Linked DNA regions of Sus scrofa. The protein of the gene in region 1 interacts with the protein of each later gene in a pairwise test. Links are inferred from orthologs where the notes say so. Each region holds a gene or a part of one and is shown in the gene's direction. Other genes may lie near its edges.

Region 1 (3,803 bases):
AGAAGCTTGTCCTGGGCAGGGGGAAGTGCCAGCTGGGACCTACTCAGTTTGGTTGAGGAACACGGAGGAGACCAATGCAGGAGAAGCAGAGTGAGTGGCCGGGGGGCGGGGGAAGCAGGAGGAAATGAGGCTCAGGGAGGTGACGGGGTGGATGGTTAAGGGCCTTCTGGGGCGGGGGAGCACTTTGGCGCTTACCCTGAATGAGATGGGAGCCATGAGAAGGTTTGAGTAGTGGAGGGACGTGATCCGATTTGAGTTTTAACCATTGCAGAGAGAGGGACAAGGACAGGACCCCAGAGGCCGGTGAGGAGGTACCCGGGCGAGAGGTCATGGTAGCAGCGGTGGAGGTGATGAGGAGAGGGGCAGGCTCTGGATCTATTGTGAGAACCGAGCCAGCAGGCGCCAGGGCTGACTCCAGAGTTTCCGGCATCAGCAGCTGTGGACAGGTAGATGGGGAAAGGTGCGCAGGAGCAGACGTGCTCACCAGTGTCATATGTCTGTGTCTCTGTCAACCCAGCTTCCCTGAAGGCCCTGAGCGGCTCCATGCCATCAAGGAGCAGCTGATGCAGGAGGGCCTCCTGGACCGCTGCGTGTCCTTTCAGGTGAGTTCCCCAGCCGACACCCCGTATGGAGGGCAGCAGCTGGCAGGACCCAGGCACAGCCAGAGCCTTATAGTTCTTTATTCCTCATGTCTCCCCAGGCCCGATTCGCCGAAAAGGAGGAGCTTATGTTGGTTCACAGGTGAAGGCTTGGGTGCCTTGTAGGGATGGGGAGGAGGCTGCCCTGGGCCAACCAGGGCAGGCTGGATGCTTTGGCAAGAAATGTCATGGGCTCTGTGGCCTTGGGCAAGTCACTGAGCCTCTCTGAATCTCATTGTTGTCATTGCCTTTATCTTGGGGGCCAGTAAACCTGTGTGAGGTACTTAGAATGGTGCCTGATGTATCATCAGCCCGGATGAACTCTCGTTACTATAATCTGATGTGTAAACAGATGACGGGTATGTGGACAGAGTGATCAGGAGGTTCCTCCAGGGGGCTGCAGGAACCCAGGGTAAGGGGCCTGGTGAGATATGGCTCAAGGGACATTAACTTGGCAGAGAGGGTATCTCAGCTGAGCTTTAAGAAGAGAGAGAGGAGTTCCCTTGGGGCTCAGTGGATTAAGGATCCAGCCTTGTCACTGCAGCTGCTTGGGTGACTGTTGTGGCACGAGTTCAATTCCTGAATCCCTGTGGCCCAGGAACTTCCACATGCTGTGGGTGTGGCCAAAAAAAAAATAACTAAGAGGAGAAAAAGATGGAGTTCCCATCATGGCTCAGCGGTAACGAAACCAACTGGTATCCATGAGGACACAGGCTCAATCCCTGACCTTGCTCCGTGGGTGAGGGATCTCGCATTGCCATGAGCTGTGGTGTAGGTCACTGCCACGGCTTGGATCCCACATTGCTGTGACTGTGGTATAGGCTGGCAGCTGTAACTCCAATTGGACCCCTAGCCTGGGAACTTCCATATGCCACAGGTGCAGCCCTAAAAAGACCAAAAAAAAAAAAAAAAAAAAAGAGTGAGAGTGATACAAAGAAGCCTGAGGGAAGGGAGGTACAGATGGCTAGAACACTCTGGCCAAAGGCCTGGAGGTAGGATTTGGTGTGGCCAGAGCAGAGGGAAAGGGATGTTACTGGAAATGAGGCAGGCTAGGGATGAAGCAAGGACTGTGTTCTATATCCCAGTTATTCCCCCCATTGACAGCTGAAGGAGGCCTGTCTTGTCCAGGGGGTTGGTGCCTGGAGGAATCAGCTGGGAAGGGGACAGGGCCCTGGCTCAGGGACAAGGAGAGAGGCAGGCCTCTGAATCTCCTCTCCCATCCACCTACCCAGCCTAGAGTACATTGATCTGATGGAGACGACCCAGTACATGAATGAGGGGGAGCTCCGCGTCCTAGCAGACACCTATGATTCGGTTTATCTGCATCCGGTATGGCTGAGAGCTGTGAGGGCAGAGGGTGGAGGCAATGCCCATCCCCCATCCCCCCCACCCTGGGGGGAGCAGCTGAGCAGACAGGGCTGCTCACCCCCTCACGCCCTCTCTGGCTCCCCACTGTCTCTGCAGAACTCATACACCTGTGCCTGCCTGGCCTCAGGCTCCGTCCTCAGGCTGGTGGATGCCGTCCTGGGGGCTGAGATCCGGAATGGCATGGCCATCATCAGGTAGGACCTGCTGGCCTTTGGCTTTTTATGTTAAAAAAAAAATCCTTTCTCAAATATAAAAGGTAATGGTAGGGGTAGTATGTTTCCACGGTTCAAGAATCAAATGGTTAGGAGTTCCCGTTGTGGCTCAGTGGTAACGCATCTGACTAGGATCCATGAGGATGTGGGTTCGATCCCTGGCCTCGCTCAGTGGGTTAAGCATCCGGCGTTGCCATGAGCTGTGGTGTAGGTTGCAGACAGGGCTCAGATCCCACCTAGCTGTGGCTGTGGTGTAGGCCGGCAGCTGCAGCTCCAACTGGACCCCTAGCCTGGGAACTTCCATATTCCTTGGGTGCTGCCCTAAAAAGAAGACAAAAAGAATGGAACATTCTAAAAGGTTGAGGGGGAAGGTACAAGTTAAAGTCCTCTCCACGCCCCCCCCCCCACCCCCGTCCCCAATCCCCGGCTTCCTCTCCTGGAGGTAGTCACTGTATAACCAGTGACTCATGTGTCCTCCCAGAAATAGTCTGTGCCTAGTCATGGAGGAAATACCATCTTTTGCTGATTCTGAGATGTTGCTTTTCCACATTTGTAACATCTTAAAATCCAGGTGCACCTTAGAAACGAGGAGGTCTCAGAATTCCTTTGGCAGCATTTTCTGCTTTGTTGTCGGCCTGTAAAATCCCAGTCCATCTTATCGTCACTGGCACCCCAGAAGTGATGACATGCAGAAGATGTAGCCTTTTTTCCTCCCTCCCCCTTTTTTTTTAACCACAAACGGTGGTAGCACCTGACCCACTCCTTTGCGTACTGTGCATTTTTCACTCACACATGTTGGACAGCTTTTCTCTGAACAGCGTAAAACAGCACTACACAGTGGCGCAGTAAGCCAACCAGCCCCTTACCATGGAGCGTTTTGGTTCCACCATTTGCTTTTTCCAAAAAAAAAAAAAATGCTGCAGCAAATATCATCCATTGATAAACATGTTATTTCACCCTTTTTGTTATATAGGTTGTGGACTAAGTCCCCAGGAGCAGAAGGACTTGGTATGAGGGTGTATGCATTGATAATTTTACTGAGCATTATTAAATTTCCTTTGGAGGAGAAGAGCAGACTGGGGGTTGTGGAGCCAAGGGCCCCAGTTACTCAGTGGGTTAAGGATCCAGCATTGCCATGAGCTGTGGTGTAGGTTGCAGACAGGGCTTGGATCCCGCGTTGCTCTGGCCAGAAGCTGCAGCTCCGCTTGGACCCCTAGCCTGGGACCTGTGCAGGCATTGGCACTGGGGACGTTCGTGGTGTAGGATTAGGGAGCCGGAAAGAGTCCCTCTCTGCTGAGGAGGACCCCCTCATATCTATGGCCTTCCCTGTCCTACCCAGGCCTCCTGGACACCACGCCCAGCACAGTCTTATGGACGGGTATTGCATGTTCAACCACGTAGCCTTGGCCGCCCGCTACGCTCAGCAGAAGCATGACGTTCAGAGGTCAGCAGCAAGCAGCTGGGCGGGTATAATGAGGGTGGGCACGTCTGGGCACTCCCCACAGATGCGCCTTGGTCTTTTTACCCAGTGGCCCCCTCTCTCCCTTCACAGGGTCCTTATTGTGGATTGGGATGTGCACCATGG
Region 2 (4,351 bases), on another chromosome or scaffold:
TATGCCGTGAGTTCAACCCTAAAAAGCAAAAAGAAAGAAAGAAATTAATTCTAGGCAAAAACAAAAACCTGAGTGCCTTCCCCCTTCTGATCATCTTATCATCTCAGCCATCCTCACCAGGTGGCAAATGAATGACCTTGGAATAGTCCCACATTTCCAGCTCTGTAAAATGGAGAGTGATGTCCCCTAATTCACCTAATTTGTATGTTAAGTGAAACGTTCTCTAAGTTGGAGGAAAGGGCTGCAAACGACGTAGTTTCCGTATATATATGTTAATGTTTCTATTACTATTATGACTGTTATGTAAGTGGTCAGGGCAAGGTGAACGCCCAGAGGGCAAAGGTAGCCTCCGCCAAGGAATGGGCCCTCCAGGGCGCATCTCAATACGGAGCAAGTTTAAAGAATTTTAGCCAGTAATCTTGACTCGGGGTGAGAGGTTGAATTTGTCTTAATCAAGGCTCAACCGTTCTTGAAGTCTTCGGGCTTGAAACTCTAGGAGAAAAAAGTAGGCTTTCTGGGCAAGATCCGAAATGCAACGCGGATTGGGGCCTCACTGCCACCTGCTGGGCACCAGGGGGTGCCGGTTGGATCCATTTGAAGTCTGGCTGGCTTGGGGGCTGCCACTCTGGGTGCGCCGGACCGCCTCTGGACAGGATCCGGGGAGCTGGTGGTAGAAGTGCCCGAGGTTCATGACTTTCGGAGACGCAGTGCCCTTTCCGCGTCCCCCTCCACCTCATTTCCAGCGACACCCGGGCACAGAAGGCCTGGGAAAAGTGTGAGCGCCTGTGGTGGGAACGGTGTGCCCATCTGGGTCCCCCGAAGAGCGGCGAGGACCGCGACCGCTCCGACGGCGCGGTCAGACTCTTGTTCAAGGGGAGGCAGCTGTTCTTCCAGGCAGCCGTGGGGGGCAACAGAGGGGACGGCGACAGGTGCGGGAGCCCCTCCCGGGGTGGAAGTGAAAAGGCGGGCTTCGGGGTCTGTTCCCAGGCTGGAAGCCACCCCCGCCCCCCAACCAAATCCCCGGGAGAGGCCCGGCCGGCGCCGGGTCTGGAGGAGGAAGCGGCCGGAGACAGTGCAATTTCACGCGGCCTCTGGGGCTCGGGTTCCTGGGCAGGGTGGATGAGTTATGGGGTTTCGAGGGGGTTTGGGGGAAACTGAGGTGGCCTGAGTGGGCGGCAAAAACACCCTCCCACTCAAAAACACACATGCAGAGAAACATTTACATTCAGATAGAAAATCCCCCAAGTGACCCAACCGGCTAGGGGAGTTGAGTGATTTGGTTGGTGGGCGAGGCCAACTTGCAGGGGGCTGGGCTTTGGAGCGCTCTCCCCACCCCCATTACCTTTCTCCTCGGGAGGCATTTGGGGGCGGCTGGAATCTTGGCCTCTCCTTAGTCCAGCTCCTGGAGAAAAATTAGGGTGAGACCCATCCGCGATCTGCGTGGCCCCAGTTGCCCGGCACTGGAGCTTGGGGCGCGCTCGGGGCGGGCCGCCGAGGCTCCAGCAATCGCTACTCCAGCCTAGCGCCCGAGGGGGCGCGGCCGTGACTCACCCCCTCCCCCTGCGCTCCCTCCTTCGCTCCCTCGCAGACTACACCCCTCCCCTGCTATCCCGCCCCGGACTCCGGCTCCGGCTCCGGTTGCAATTCGCAACCTCCTCTGCTGCCGCTACCAAGTCGCTGGTGGCTCAGGTGGCTCCGCTTCGATGTCCTAGTCCAGGGGCTCCCCCGGCCGGATTGGGCTGGGCTCCCCTCACCCGCCGCTGGAGTCATGAGGGCGAACCGGGCTCTGCAGGTGCTGGGCTTCCTCCTCAGCCTGGCCCGGGGCTCCGAGGTGGGCAACTCTCAGGCAGGTAAGCGGCGCGGGAGCACCGGCAGGCTCGGAACTCGGGATCCCGAGCGGAGCGCGCGGGGTCCGGGAGGGCAGGGGCAGGAACCCGGGCTGTGCTAGGCTGGGGTGCGGAGCCCCGGTCCGCTGGGACCCCTCCTGGGCGGGGAACGTCAGGATCGGGTTCTCGGCGTGGTCCGGGCGGGGAGAGGATTCCTGCACCACCACCTTCCCCTGGGCACCTCCTCCCTGGCCCGTCGCGGACCCTCTGATTTGTCTCTCGGGATAGGGCTGATGCGCAAACATTCACACTTCTGAGGGACCCTGCAGGAAGGGGAGCTAGGACCCCCATTCTGTAAACGTGAGGGCCTGATTGGAGGTGGAGATCTTGGAGGGAGCCGGGCGGGGAGAGGGGGTCTCGGTTTGCACCCATCCTCCTGCCCCCTCCTGCCCCCTCCTGCCCTCCACCACCTCCAGTTTGGTTGTTTTGCCGACAGGGCGGAGCTGTGGAAGGGGTGTGTGTGTGGGGGGGGGTAGGTTGTTGTTCTCTTGTGTTGGAAAACAAGAGCAGCACCTCCTCTTCCGTGAGTGGGTCTGCCCTGGGGAGAGCTGAGATTAACCCCAGGGCCAAGTCCAGGTGACAGCAGGTTGAGAGGCCACGCAAACACTGCCTGCCTCCTTTCTCTCAAAATAATAAAAGTTGGCTGGTTCCAGACTCGACCAACCTGTTTTTAAGACCCCGATCAATTCAACTGGTATTTATTAAGCATCTACTATGTACAAAGCCCTGGGCCAGGAGATGAAGGGGCAAGGACTTCCAGTGGCTGTTTCTCTCTCAGGGCCCACAGGGCTCCTCTCCCATCTTCTGAGGCGCCTGTCCTCCGAGTTCCTTCTTAGACACAGCTTCCCCCCCACCCCCCATTCTGTTTATTGTCTGGCTGTCTCTAGGAGTCTAGACAAGAGTCAGTTTGCTCCACTATTCCTCCTTCTACTCCCATGCCAGCTGAACTCACCCCTTTGGGGTGTCTCTGGGACCGTGGACACCTGAGGGGTGCTGGGGTTGCTGGCATGGGAGGAATCCTGTTGCTCTCCTCCCCTCCCCCCCAGACCTCAGCTTGGGGTTTGGCACAGCCAGGGCCCCTTCCCCAGGGTGGGAGTGGGAGAAACACCTGTGCTTCCCTCACAGTTGCTGGGCCTAAATTTAGAGCCTGGGATCTTGAGATGTGAACACTCCCAGCTGGTGGAGGGTGGGGGTCTGGGGATTGAAGTGGGAGAGACTGAATGGAGGGACTCTATCACTGTCCCATCCAGACCCCTGGAATCTTCAACCCAACCGGGAACCCAGGAGTCCCAGACCCTGGCCACCTTCCCCGAGGGAGACAGGAGGCAGGCATGGTTGGGTCTCTTTACCCTTTATCTGGATCCTGCAGCCTCTGGGCATCCGGCCCTGTCTCAGTCCTTCTATAGCCCCTTTGTCCTGCCTGTGATGGGGGTGGGGGACTTTGGAGAGGAGGCCTGTGGTTGAAGAGGGGCTGGAGATTCTTGCTCTGACCCACCCCAGTGCTCTCTACCAAAAGAGGGCCTGTGACACTGGCTCTCCCAAGGCCCCTGGTCCCTGAGTACAGCAGAGATGGTCTATTTCCCCTCCCCCTCCCCTCCTCCCCAGGCTGCCCAGTTCCTCCTGAGAGGTGTTGTTCATACTCTCTTCCCGCCCAGCCACCCAGCCCTTTGCTCTCTGTTTGTGTAATACGGACTTTACCCTCAGGGAGGCAGGGAACTGGGACATCTTACTCTGTAGCCTCCCAAGCACAGACACAAAGTCTGCACAGACACATATGGGCAGGTGGGATGGATGGGGCCACCTGAAATACTTCCTGATAAGGAAGCCCAAGGACAGAACCAGTAGAGATTTTGGGGCCAGTAGGGGAGCTGTGTACATGTTTGTCTGTGTGTGTGTGTGTGTGTACACGCACACATCCCGCTTCCCTGTGTGGAAATCTTGGCTCCTCCCTTATCAGGGGAGAAGGGTTGGCGCCTTGACTTGGAAGAGAGGGTGTCCTGCCAGGAAGGGGGTTGGGGTGGGGCTTTTCCAGAAATGACTAACCTTCCTAGTCGTTTTCTTTTTAGCCCAAGGACCCTAGCATTCCCAGGCTCCTCTGGGAGCGCCTGGCCTTTTTACCCCTCTGCTAGGTCTAGCTCATCCCATTCCCTTTAGGAGGTGTGACAGGGAATAGAAGGCCTTCAAAGGTCAAGTGGGCAGACTAGGGGTGCATCTTGGAGGAGGGCTTGGGGCCTCACCAATCTCCCTTCCTCCGTTCCCGCTCCTGCCTCCCACTAGGCTGCCACTGCCTCAGGGAAGGGTGGCTGGAACAGGTGGTATCTACTCCTGCTCCCGCTCCGCTCGCCACAGTCTTTTTCTGAGCCAGGGGAGAGACAGGGGTAGTAGAGCTTCAGGGTCGAAGTTTTCCTGGAGCCCCTGTGGGGGTAAAGTGAACCCCCAAGACGGACATGCCCCATGAGTCTAAG

Evidence for each region.
Region 2: the proteins of HDAC6 (region 1) and ERBB3 interact in a protein complementation assay, tested with the Homo sapiens proteins (2 studies listed by BioGRID and IntAct, with this or other methods). The link is inferred for Sus scrofa from reciprocal best matches to the Homo sapiens genes HDAC6 and ERBB3.

The regions. Positions count from the first base shown.
Region 1 is NC_010461.5:42,921,025-42,924,827, forward strand, and holds part of HDAC6 (histone deacetylase 6), read left to right. Parts: intron 1-517; coding exon 518-602; intron 603-700; coding exon 701-741; intron 742-1,870; coding exon 1,871-1,967; intron 1,968-2,102; coding exon 2,103-2,200; intron 2,201-3,557; coding exon 3,558-3,662; intron 3,663-3,770; coding exon 3,771-3,803.
Region 2 is NC_010447.5:21,472,857-21,477,207, forward strand, and holds the start of ERBB3 (receptor tyrosine-protein kinase erbB-3), read left to right. Parts: upstream 1-1,361; 5' UTR 1,362-1,768; coding exon 1,769-1,850; intron 1,851-4,351. UniProt on the Homo sapiens protein: Tyrosine-protein kinase that plays an essential role as cell surface receptor for neuregulins.